2 linked regions of the Oryzias latipes genome follow. The protein of the gene in region 2 interacts with the protein of the main gene of each other region in a pairwise test. Links are inferred from orthologs where the notes say so. Each region holds a gene or a part of one and is shown on either strand. Other genes may lie near its edges.

The links.
Region 1: the proteins of drap1 (region 2) and nfyb interact in binary tests that used the Homo sapiens proteins (3 or more experiments, as listed by UniProt). The two-hybrid records come from large-scale screens. The link is inferred for Oryzias latipes from reciprocal best matches to the Homo sapiens genes DRAP1 and NFYB.

What each region holds. Positions count from the first base shown.
Region 1 is NC_019881.2:8,916,236-8,922,611, reverse strand, and holds the start of nfyb (nuclear transcription factor Y subunit beta), read right to left. Parts: upstream 3,514-6,376; 5' UTR 3,384-3,513; intron 3,333-3,383; exon of another isoform or gene 2,642-3,332; intron 2,517-2,641; 5' UTR 2,453-2,516; coding exon 2,359-2,452; intron 2,283-2,358; coding exon 2,152-2,282; intron 1,739-2,151; coding exon 1,541-1,738; intron 715-1,540; coding exon 639-714; intron 572-638; coding exon 492-571; intron 422-491; coding exon 389-421; 3' UTR 1-388. UniProt on the Homo sapiens protein: Component of the sequence-specific heterotrimeric transcription factor (NF-Y) which specifically recognizes a 5'-CCAAT-3' box motif found in the promoters of its target genes.
Region 2 is NC_019876.2:27,235,548-27,241,840, reverse strand, and holds the start of drap1 (dr1-associated corepressor), read right to left. Parts: upstream 3,832-6,293; 5' UTR 3,622-3,831; coding exon 3,580-3,621; intron 1,583-3,579; coding exon 1,510-1,582; intron 1,245-1,509; coding exon 1,151-1,244; intron 949-1,150; coding exon 823-948; intron 1-822. Other genes in the region: UPF0696 protein C11orf68 homolog, read left to right, coding at 6,273-6,293. UniProt on the Homo sapiens protein: The association of the DR1/DRAP1 heterodimer with TBP results in a functional repression of both activated and basal transcription of class II genes.

The DNA of each region.
Region 1 (6,376 bases), on a different chromosome or scaffold from region 2:
ACAGTTTACAAAAGAGCTGCATGATCGACTCAGACAGAAACGTCTGGATTTCAAACCCAAGTGAAGCTTTTAGAGTATCACTGCCCTCCCGCCTTCAAAAATACAAACTTAAGGTAAACACATAAAAGCAAACACATTAATAAGTATGCACAAACAGAGTTCCACCACAAAATCATGCCTTTAAAATAAAGCCTTGAATTTCCCAGCTGCTCTGAAACATATCCAGAACATTTGGTACCTCACAACTAGAAACTACACTTTCAACTAAACAGGTAGTGATTTCTGTGTTTGAGGGCACCCCCCCTCCTCTGACAGACAACCTTCACCCCACAGGGTCACAGGTCATCGGATAAGCACGTGCCCCAAGCGAGTGCACGGACTGGTCTGGTCATGAAAACTGGATCTGCTGCACAGTAGGGATCTGGAATGGAGCATGCTGGGATTGTAGTTCAGTACCGTCAAAGAGTCTTGACAGAAGATGAGGGGCTTACCTGCTGATATGAGGTGGTGTACACCATGACGTTCTGCTGCTGGCCGTCTGCTGTAATGATCCCTGCAGGAAGTGGGTTTGCTGCACACAAATTCACACATGAAGAACATGAGCAGTAGAGAGAACCTCACTGTTGGATTCAACTTACTGAAATCATCTGTTAGCTCTTCACTCAGTCCCTCCCCAACCGACACGCCTGCAATCCCCTTTTCTCCCTTCATCGCCTGAAGAGACCAAAAACGACAAGACATTTGCACCGAAACTTACACAACGGAGGTAACTCCTGTAAAAACTCAAACCTGCCGTTGGAGCAGCAGAAATGGATGTAAACATACAAGAGCGCGGGACAAGAGAGACGCTACAGACAGGAAGTCAACATACAAGAACGAAGGACAACAGAGACACAACAGACAGGAAGTCGACACACAAACGCGGGACAACAGAGACGCGACAAACAGGAAGTCAACACACAAGAACGAAGGACAACAGAGACAACAGACAGGAAGTCTACGCACAAACGCGGGACAACAGAGACGCGACAGACAGGAAGTCAACACACAAATGCGGGACAACAGAGACGCGACAAACAGGAAGTCAACACACAAGAACGAAGGACAACAGAGACACAACAGACAGGAATTCAACATACATGAGTGCGGGACAACAGAGACACAACAGACAGGAAGTCAAAACACAGACGCGGGACAACAGAGACGCGACAGACATGAAGTCAACACACAAATGCGGGACAACAGAAACACGACAAACTGGAAATCCAAACACAAGAACGAAGGACAACAGAGACACTACAAACAGGAAGTTAACAAACAAACGCGGGACAACAGAGACGCCACAAAAAAGAAGTCAAAACACAAGAACGTGGGACAAGAGAGACACGACAGACAGGAAGTCAACACACAACAGCGAAGGACAACAGAGATGCTACAAACAGGTAAATCTAACTGTGTAATGTAACAAGCTGCAAAACAAACATGCACCACTGCAGCTTGGGTGTGTGACAGCATTTAAGGACAGAAGGTAAAGTCACACCTCTCTGAACTTTTGCAGGTAGAGCTTCAGTGGATCCACGTACATATCGAAGCCCAGCGTGGACATGGCAAACAGGATGTCCTCGCCGTTGATGGTCTTCCTTTTCTCCTGGTGGCAGCGCTCACTCGCCTCCGATGTGATGAAGCTGATGAACTCGCTCACACACTCCTGCACACACTCTTTGGCATCTTTGGCGATCTGTGGTGAAAAGAGGAGAAAGCAGGTGAGTTGGGGTGAGGAAGGCCTGCAGCCAATAAGGAGCTCTGTTTGCAGTTTTGGGTTTTTCCAGGCTTTTCTTTAGATGTTTCTAATACATCATCTGTATGGTGTGATGATCAAACAGGTGATCTTTAACAAGCTCATAAACTTTTTTCCAGCTGTGGCTACATCCGTTTGAACCGGTTTACCACGCGGATGGATCCCTTGCACCATCTGCAGGTGTGATCTGGTGCCTGCACTGCTCTGTTAAAAGTACAGGAGTCTTTGTGAGCATGTTCACAACCCAACCACCTCCTAAAGACACGTTTTTGCGAGGTGCTTGAGCTGAAATTTGATTTCAAAGTTAAGCAGCAGCTCACATTCCAAAACATCTTCTTAAGACTTTAACAAACCTTTCCAGTTTGAGGAACAGCGTTCTTCATGATGCGTGCCACGTTTGCAATAGGCAGATAGATGTCCTGCTCCCTGTAGTTCTCCTTGGAGCCCCCCTCCTCGTGGTCATTCATGCTCTCCTCTCCATCTTCTGCAGAACAGACAGAGCAGCTCTTCAGGATGTCACCTGGTTTGGTGGGGAGCTGTCAGGAACGGGAGATCCTTACCATCCTGGGGTTGGAGAACGTACTGACCAGAAGCCATGTATTCTCCGGTGATCCCCAGCTGAGATGTGTCTGTGGTGGAGCTGTCTCCGTCCATCTCCCACAAGTTCAGAGCAGCTGATTGAAAGTCAGTAAGCTGGAGGGATGCAGATCAAACGTTCCTGTAACCAAGCAGCACAAGGGGACCATCATTTCAGCATGAAGGCTGGGCCTCTGGAACTTATTCTGTCCTCAGTAAGGTCAAAAAGGTTCAGTTAAAAATATGAAAGTAAATGGAATCGTTTACGGCGAGCAGGAATCGAACCCGGAACCAATAACAATTGAAATGCCTGGATCGTTTGTTTTGGCTGTGAGGCTGTTTCTCCGTGATGGACCATTTCTCTGCCCAGAGCTTCGCGGGGACAGCAGCTCGGATAACGGAGCTTCAGTGCTGCGTTCAGGTTCCAGTGTTTCATACAGAAATGATGCGTCCACCCCGCAGACATGGACCCTGAAGACCGTTTCGCTGTTTTCTCTTCATAACAGGAGCGAAGTCTGAGGCCCGCCCGGCGGCGTGTCAGACTGAGCCCGCCGTTTGTGAACATGATCATCAAAGGCTCCGTGGGAGTTAGCTGCCGGTCTGCAGACGTCAACGAGGTGCGTTTAGCTAGCGTTAGCAGTGGTCCCGCGGCACGGGAGCGAGCGGAGCCGGCGTGACTGAGTGCCCAAGAACCGTCGGTGGTTTCCGCGCACAGAGAAGCGGCGAGTGTGACGGACTTTCTCGTTAGGGGGACGCCTGAACGGGACGCGGCGTCTCCGGCAGTCGTGCTCATTGTGAACCCGCGGCAATCTGCTCCTGCGTCGGCCTGTTCTTTGTCAGCCTAGCCGGAGCTGGGCCCGGGCGTTCGGCGGAGTCTCGCCCGCAAACACTTCCTGACGAGCAGCCCTCACTCATTGAGACAACACGTAAAAAATCAGCCATCAACGGACATTTCCATTCGAGCTAACGACGAATCGGTTAACAATCATTGGCCGAGCCCGGCACAAACCTGCTATGAAGCCCTGGTTGGTTCCCTCCCTGAGACGGCTGTTTGGTTGGACAGAAAATGGCTGCGAAACGACCAGTCCCAGCGCGGAGCCGCGTCTGCACTACCGGTCTCGGCCGGCAGGGGGCCGTGGTGCGTTCCAGGATGTCCCGGAAATCTCACAATTTGTTACCTGACATAGAGTACAAAGAGTGTTGTCTTCAAACTGCGTTCATAAGAGCACATTTTAATTAATGAGTGCACACTCATAATATTCAAGAATGAATAGACTGGATTGATTTGCCTTTTTTGTCTTTTATACCAAGCAGTTAATTCTAATTCTAGAAAATCCAGTTGTTACGACAGTAATATGTATCAAAGTGCGCCTTTTCACCTTTGACACAGAAAACTAGTGAAGTTGTGGTCTCGTGTGTTTTCCTTTTGTCCTCAAAAAGCCAAAATCCCAAACTTCTATAGAGAAATAAACAGCTGTTACTCAGCCATTCCATTGGTCAGAATACCCATTCTTGCCCTTAACATCTTCTTGATAATCCTCTTTTCCCATTAATTTATTAAATTTATAAACTATCTAATCAGATGCCTCAGCTAAAGCATGCTGTGCCCACTGGCCCCCATGTCAAACATTCAAAACATTTCAGATTTTGTCAAGCACGTTTTCAGGGGTAGGGGCGTGGACTTCCAACAAGCTCACTACTGATTGACAAGAGTGGTTGCCATAGAAATGACGGCTAAGACCACTCGGACAAATCCCTTCCCACTGACATTAGCCGCGGTTACATGTGCAAAATGTTTTGATCGGATCAAAGATTGATCCAAGTGTTTTGCATCTGTAGTGAGCAGGATTTATAGTATCACTAATCATGAATAAAATATAAAGGAGCTTGTTTGTGCAGATTTTGTTTTAATTAATTTGTTTAACTAGATGTACCAAAACACTGAAAAAGTTTTCATCCTTTGACTAAAAAAGCACTAAATAATGATCAAAGTTGTTCCTAAAAGTAGATTGCAATGATCAGTTGTAGCATTTTATGATCACTGTGTCCCCAACCTTATGCATCTTCCATGACATCTGCTATGTGACTGTTGTTGTTGTTGTTTGAGGTGCTGTTTTTTTGATGAGATAGTTATCTTTGAAGCAATTCTGTGTACCTGCTCCAAATGTTCCGGGAGAAAAACTGTCCCTGCGTCTTTAGTTCCGGCCTCTTTGAAGCTACATTTTCTCAACAGCGAGTCGATTCATTTCATTGTCCTGCTGCTGACAGACTCCGTAGACTACTGGGTTCAGTCTGTTGTCTGAGAGCTGAGTTTTTGTTTCAATCTGTGGAAAGGTGTGACGGTGTGGCACCGTCAGATGCCGAGGGGAGGCCACACCGGATTTTATTGGTTGTGTAATAATGTGTTTTGTTATTCATTGTATGTTATAATTTCCACCTGTGGTGCCGCCTGGCTGGGAATTGAGAGCAACGCCCCGTGGGTGTGGCATCCCACTTAAAGGTGAGCACTGCAGGTGGCGAAAAGAGAGGAGTGACAGAGTGTGCTGCGTGGCCCTGCGCGGTGCTCACAGTATCGGAAATAAAGACAGATCATCCTCACCTTGGTTCCTCTGCATCCTTTCTCGGCGGGACCCCGCCACATTTGGTGTCAGAAGTGGGATCGCAGAGGAGACCACAAAAAGGTGGGGACGCAGCGGCGTGGTGGGGACGACGACTCCCCGGCAGCTCAGCACCTCCTACAGGTACTTCATCCTCTAAGGAAGAGGGGGTGGATCCGGGTGGCCTTGGCGGTGCTTCAGGCCTGGCCAGGGGCCCGGAAAGCACTACGGCGTCCAACTCGGCGCCCATGGCGAGCGGCGGACCACGCGGACAGCAGGGGCGGACCGCCGGAGCGCGAAGACGGCCGGAGGCGGGACGGGCATACCGCCCGGTTCCACTGCCGCGGATGCGGGCGTTGGAGGCCTGTGCGGAGCTGGACAAGGGGCGGACCGACGTCTACCGGGCCGTCAGGGGAGTGCTCCGGGAGAGGCGTCACAACTCGCCTGTAACCTGCTGTCGGCGGCTCCGATCGGCTGAGGTGCCATCCGGGAGGAGACCAGCGGGGGCGTGTTGCCGTTGGAAGGGCCTTAGCCGGGGCTGGGACCGACTGGAGCGGCGCACCGAGGAGCGGGTCGGAGGGATCGCCGTCGTGGAGCAGCCGCAGCCCGTGCATCCATCCGACGCGAGGACGTGGGTGGAGGAGCACGCGCCGGAGGACAGTCCCGCTGATCCCTGCAGACCAACCGGACAGGGCCTCTACATTAGGCGAGGGGCGCCTGCGGAACGGGTTGGTGGTTCGGCGTGGGCTTGCGCGGCGGCGGAGGGCTGGACTGGATCGCCGCACATCGTCGATCCCTCAGAGGAGGGGGATGGTGTGACGGTGTGGCACCGTCAGATGCCGAGGGGAGGCCACACCGGATTTTATTGGTTGTGTAATAATGTGTTTTGTTATTCATTGTATGTTATAATTTCCACCTGTGGTGCCGCCTGGCTGGGAATTGAGAGCAACGCCCCGTGGGTGTGGCATCCCACTTAAAGGTGAGCACTGCAGGTGGCGAAAAGAGAGGAGTGACAGAGTGTGCTGCGTGGCCCTGCGCGGTGCTCACAGTATCGGAAATAAAGACAGATCATCCTCACCTTGGTTCCTCTGCATCCTTTCTCGGCGGGACCCCGCCACATTTGGTGTCAGAAGTGGGATCGCAGAGGAGACCACAAAAAGGTGGGGACGCAGCGGCGTGGTGGGGACGACGACTCCCCGGCAGCTCAGCACCTCCTACAGGTACTTCATCCTCTAAGGAAGAGGGGGTGGATCCGGGTGGCCTTGGCGGTGCTTCAGGCCTGGCCAGGGGCCCGGAAAGCACTACGGCGTCCAACTCGGCGCCCATGGCGAGCGGCGGACCACGCGGACAGCAGGGGCGGACCGCCGGAGCGCGAAGACGGCCGGAGGCGGGACGGGCATACCGC
Region 2 (6,293 bases):
TCAGCGTTCTTGTGATCATTCTGATCCACGGAGTGAGATGTTGACAGGAACCCCAGATGGAGGGAGATCATCAGTGGTCTTGTGTGTCTCCTATTTCCTAATAATTGCTCCCACAGTTCATTTCCTCACACCAAGCTGCTTACCTGTTCAGATTCAGTCTTCCCAGCCTGGTGCAGGTCAACAGTTTGGTTTCTGGTGTCCTTAGACAGCTCTTTGGTCTTGACCATAGTTAAGGTTGGGGTGTGACTGTTTGAGGTTGTGGACAGGTGTCTTTTCTATAGATAACCAGTTCAAACAGGTGACATTAATACAGGTTACCAGTGGAGGACAGAGGATCCTCTACAGAAGAAGTTAGATGTCTGTGACAGACAGAAATCTTGCTTGTTTGTGGGTGACCATATACTTATTTTCCGCCATAATTTACTAGTAAATTCCTTAAAATTCAGACAATGTGATTTTCTTCTTTTATTTAGTCTCTCATAGTTGAGGTATACCTATGACTATGATGAAGCTACAGGCCTCCTTCATCAAGTAGGAGAACTTCCACAATTGGTGGCTGACTAAATGCTTTTTTTGCCCCACCGTATATGGACATAGTTTACTCTGAAAAGCCTCAGCAAATCATGTTATAGGCCCTTTAAGGTCGCCAGGTGAAACAAGAGGCCTTCTGACTAATTCAGGACAAGAGAAGACCATGAGCACATTTTCATTGCTCAAACACAGACCAGGTTATTCTGTAGCGTGACACATACGTGATCACATAGGCAGCTGCTAGGCCTCATTTCATTCTGTTCTCCACGTCCACCTGTGGGACAGAGATACCTGCGCTGGACTTTTTCCCCTCCGCCTTCGATGTGGTTGTCCTCCCCTTCGCCCTGCATGTCCGGTACCGTTGCTACCAGGTCCTTTAGGAAATCGAACTGCTGCTCCAACTCGATGCACTGTTTTCTGGAGTGAAAAAAAAACACACATCCATTCCAGTCATTCCCATCCAGCAGACTGAGCGGAACAACAACGAAATGCCTTTCCATTGTTTTGTTTTTTTTCCTTACTGCAACATGGATGTAACTGGCACACATCCTCCAAAATCTTTCATCTGCTAAAGCCATTTTCACGTGTTCTTGGAGAGCGGATTCTTTCAGAAACTTACAGGTGGGACATCGTCATGGTCTTTGCGTTCCTCGACTGCGTGACTTGACAGGCTTTTGTGAGCAAAGACTCCAGGAACAGCTCCAGAGCTCTGGCTGATGCTTTGATTAAGAACATAATAACTCACCCGTGTTTGCACAAAACGTCTGCACAGACCGCTTCCTCCTGAAGCGTCAAAAACCAGAACCAAACCTGCAGAGATGCACAAATCTGCTGACCGCTGCCCTTGAGATGAAGCTGATTAGTGCGACACACATGCGTGTGCTCTGTCTGCAAACACGGGCAGCGGTTCAAAAGGTTTGCACACATGCAAAAATCCCACAAGGCCCTGTGACGTTCCAACACGTTTGCAAAGGATACATATGATGACAGGAACCGCTGCAGCCACTTTTCCTATCTCCTCATCTGTTTGCATAATCTTCTTGATCCTTGCCTGAAAAGACAACAGTCTGGTGTTACGTGAGGACATGAGAGGACGACATGTTTAACAAAAGAAAAAAACGCCCAATCTGAGGCAGTTTATCCAAAGAGGTGACAGTCTAACCATGAAAAGTAGAGAAAGCAAAAGGAATATTGAAACAAATTAGCCCTCTGCAGACCCACAGTTGAGTTTGTCAGCCACAATGACACAGTTATAAATCCGACACCCTCATCTGCATCGTTTCTATTCAAAATCAAACCTGAAGGTTTCAAAAGGTTATTAGCTTTAACATTTTTAGTTTAAAATAACATAACAAGAGTTATGACACATACTGTAATTGTGATACCCCTTAGTGCTTTGAGTGGAGCTTTGCCTGTTTTCTCATTGTTTTGACCTTTGCTTTGTTTTTGGATTTATGCCTTTTAATTTTATCTACACATATTTGATCTTTGTTCTAAAACATATAAAAACTGTTATATCTCAATTTTTGTGGGTTTTACAGTAAAAAGTTACTTAGTTTTATGAACAGCTTGATGCTCATTGTAGAATTATTGTGTAAAAATCATCAAAAGTATGTAAAAAAAGGAGAAGAAGCTGGGGGTTCTGTACCCCCCCCCCCCCCCCCAATTGTCATGCAGTCCCACACCATGACTCGACCAACGCCGTGCTTGACTGTAGGCAAGACACCCTTGTCTTTGTCCTCCTCACCTGGTTGACGCCATCTGAACCAGGTTTATCTTGGTCTCATCAGACCACAGAACATGTAATCCATTCCTTAGTCTGCTTGACTTCTGGGCCTTTTTGTGCATCGCGTTTAGAAAAGTCTTTCTTGTGGGACAACAGCCATGCAGACCAGTTTGTGGCGTATAGTCTGAGCACTGACAGGCTCACCCCTGCAGCAAAGCTCGACGCTCTCATACATATGTGTGTCAAAGGTCAGCTTTGGATGTGATGCTGTGAATGTGCGACGAACTTCTTTGACCGACGACAGCGAGACCTGTTCTGAGTCAAAGCTGTCTTTTTTAAACCGCTGGATGGTCTTGGGGGCACCGTTTCCGTTGGTAACCTTCTAGGCCATCTTTACGTTAACCGACAATTCTTTTTTTTCTTTTCAGTGAGTGGTTTGCCATGAGGAGCCATGTTTAACTTCCAGTGATCAGTTTGAGAGAGTGTAAGAGCTTTAATGCTATATTTAACACACCTGCTATCTATTGACACCTGAGACATTGTAACAGTAAAGAGTCACATGATATCGGAGAAGGAAAATGCCAAATTCATTTTTGTTGCCAGGGGTTTGGCTATATTAATAGTCATTTTTTAAGAAAAAAATTTTCACTACTATAAAAGATGAACACGGACTACATTTTATTGTGTCGAAAAGTCTTGTGTCCAATGAAAACAGTGAGGGGTGTACTCACTTTAGTGAGATCCTCTGTACATTGCGTTGTCTTTCAATATTCCAGTTTTATGTTTAATCCACTCTTGCTGAGACTCTTTACATTAAAATCAAAATCTCTAAAATCAAAGCCCGTGTTCTGGTTATTGTAATTTTACACCCAGATTCGTTTATTATCATCTGAATCCCAATATTTATTGTCTAATATTAACATCCATCGGTATAATGGTGTGACTTTATCAGCTAAATCCCACAAACACCAAACCAGAACTTCATTTAGATGGTGCAGAAACGTGACATTTAAAGGGCGCCGTGCCGTGACAGCGCTGTGATCCATCACTGTCCGTTTATACAGCTATAATACCAGATTAGGATTAGCATAACAGGCTAAAAACAACAGGGCGCACAGCCTAAACTGCTCGGGGAACGACTCGTGAATTAGTTAGTTACCTGCTTTATTTACACGGACAATATCTCGGTGATGGAGAACGAATTGCATTAGAAAAGTCTTGCTTTAGCTTGTTAATTCTCTTGGCAACAAAAGAGGCCAAATCCCACTCAGTCTGCTAATGCTAGCGACTCCCAACACCCGATAGTTTACGGTTATACTCACCGGAGGGAATCTGGCGTTGTACTTCTTCTTTTTGCTCGGCATAATTAAATAACCTGGTGACTGAGCTAAAATAAAATGTTAAATGTTTGGGGTTATACTGCTATTTCATGTGAATTCACCTCCACCGCACGTACACCAGATAGCGTTAGCTATCCGGCTAAGTTGTTAGCGCGCTGTCGTCATCTCGTTCCTCGTTGCTTGAGGAGCTGAAGGGATCCGTTTGCTTTTGCCAGGTCCTAGCGCCGGTCATGTTGGCACTTGCTGCGCTACTCTCAGATTTCATTAGTGTGTAGAGAAAAAATACGGTGGCCGAGAAGTGCCAGATACAACAACAACAAATCCCAGTAAAAATGAACAAATACTGAAACACAACAGCAAATCACTGGAAAAAAAAATAGTGTCCTGAAAAGCCACAAAAAACTAATACTACTACATAATACTTTAATGGAACATTTTTTAAGAAACAAAAAATAAAGTCCAGTCATGTTTTCATTAAGAAGAAAGGTTGTGATACACTTAAAACTGTTCAATGTCAAACCAGCCTCTCCAGGTGTATCTTTTTATTACAGCGGTGAATCGAGGCCGTATACAGGCATGGGCAAGGGGGGTAATGTCCTCCCCTAAATGCTATGAATCCCCCTTCAGAGGTGATAGCCCTTAAAAATCCAAAATTAACTAAGAATTTAAAAACAAAAAAACAACGAAAAATATTCATACAAACATCAAAAACAAAAAAACAAAACAAAATTAGAAAATAATGTAATGGACAAGTGGACAGACATAAAAAGAAAGAAAAAAGATAAATGCAGCCTCAAACCAGTTTCCTGCTTTTCCCTGTAATTCTGGTGCCTCCCCATAGATGGTTCTCTACAAATAAATGGGCTGTTGCTCAGATGCAGAAGCTCATTTTGCATTGCATGTGGTTTTGGAATATATGTTGTTTTTCTGGGAAGCATTTTTCTATCATTCCAATTCCACTTGAACGCAGCGTTACTCTAATTTACTTTTTCCCTAAAGGAACATCAATCCATTGGTGCAAATGGCTCTAAAATGGGAAGAAAAGCCACAGTTTTGAAATAAAGACACCAAAATGTTCTACATGTATGTCAATTTTCTATCAAAAGCTACAGATGTTTTTGTCAAGATTCCACGTTATTTCTTCATCTCATGAGTTGTGATACCAAAACACTCTGTACAACAGCTCCCGGTCCGGCCTTTCTGCCAAATCTTAGACCCCTTTGTGGCCCAAGGGTTTAATATTACACAGTTGTGGGTAAAAAAGCAACAAAGAGAAATTCAAGATTTGGTCTGGTGGACATATAAAGAGATTATCATCCAGATTCATAAGGCAGAACAGCCTGGAACCATGCCACTGAGGGGTGAACGGTCACATCTAGAACACGTCATGTCTCTGATTTTATTACTGGTTTAGAAACAAATAAAACGCCTGCATTATTCATTTATTTTTTCATCTTTTTAAACATGTAAATGATTCCTTAACAGTTTTTTTCCCATAAACTTAGTAGTCAGTCACGAAGGATTTCAAATATTCAGGCGTGTGGTATGGACGATGTAAAGACAGAAAACGTTTTTTTATTGACCCCCCCTGAATCTGTTTTATCAGCCGTACATGTCTTACAGATAAATCTGTGTTATCCAGCGGTTCAGGAGCGACCCGCCCTGCATCGTCGTAAAGATTGATCGGCTCCTGTTGACTGGAGAGACTTATCCTTGTGCAACGTTTTGCTCTGGAAGGGGTTTCAGATTTACAAAAGATGAGCAACATCCAGTCATTTGGTGTTTTTGAGTTTATGCTGAGAAATCATTCAAGGACTCTGTTGAGTAAAAGGTGTATGAAAAGAGATTGCCGTGATTCAATCGTGGATGGTCGATGGACCGTGTTCCCCTAAAGCATTACCAGGACGCCTCTGCTATAACACACCTGATCCTTATTGTTCACCTTTCTGCATTTCCCTTCAGGGGTCGCCGCATTGTTTCCATCTTTACCTTTAATGCTTTTCTCATTCACAACAATTTGAAGTAAGAAATCCTCAAAAATAAATGTTTACGTCTATGTTTTATTATAAATCTCCTCCATCAGCAGTAAAAACATTAAAAAAAACACTGTATTCATCTGGGTGGGTCCACAGGTCAAACTTCCTCTGTGGTTGGGCGAGACTCACATTTGTGTTTTAGTTGTTGATTTTTGACTTTTTTCTTTCAAGAGATGTCATACAGTGAGGAACGTAGAACACCAGGAGGTTATAAAAGCTGCACGTGTGTCTAATAGATTTTTCACGCATGCAACACCAATGAATTTACAACTTTAATACTATATCTACAGCATATATCACAGTAAGATTACGTAATTTAGGCACAAATCGTGTTCTTTGCTTGGTTCATTTTTACTTCTTCCGTGGTTTTAATGTGGTTCATCGTGATAAAGCTCTGAAAATTTCACGTAAAGACCACGACTTTTCTCACTTTTTCCTTGTGTGGTCATTTTTATCTGTGCAATATGTACAAAAGGAACGTAGTGGGTGTGTGACACGGCCTTAAGATGCTGCTCCAAAGTTCAGCCTCTGTGTTGCGTAAGTCTCCCTCACTCGTGCCGTCATGAACACAACTCCTGCTTTCTTTCAGCAGGGAGCTCCACACTCCTTGCTCGGTTCCAGTCTCACCTTCACGGCATCATGGAGGAAGAAGAGGCCTCT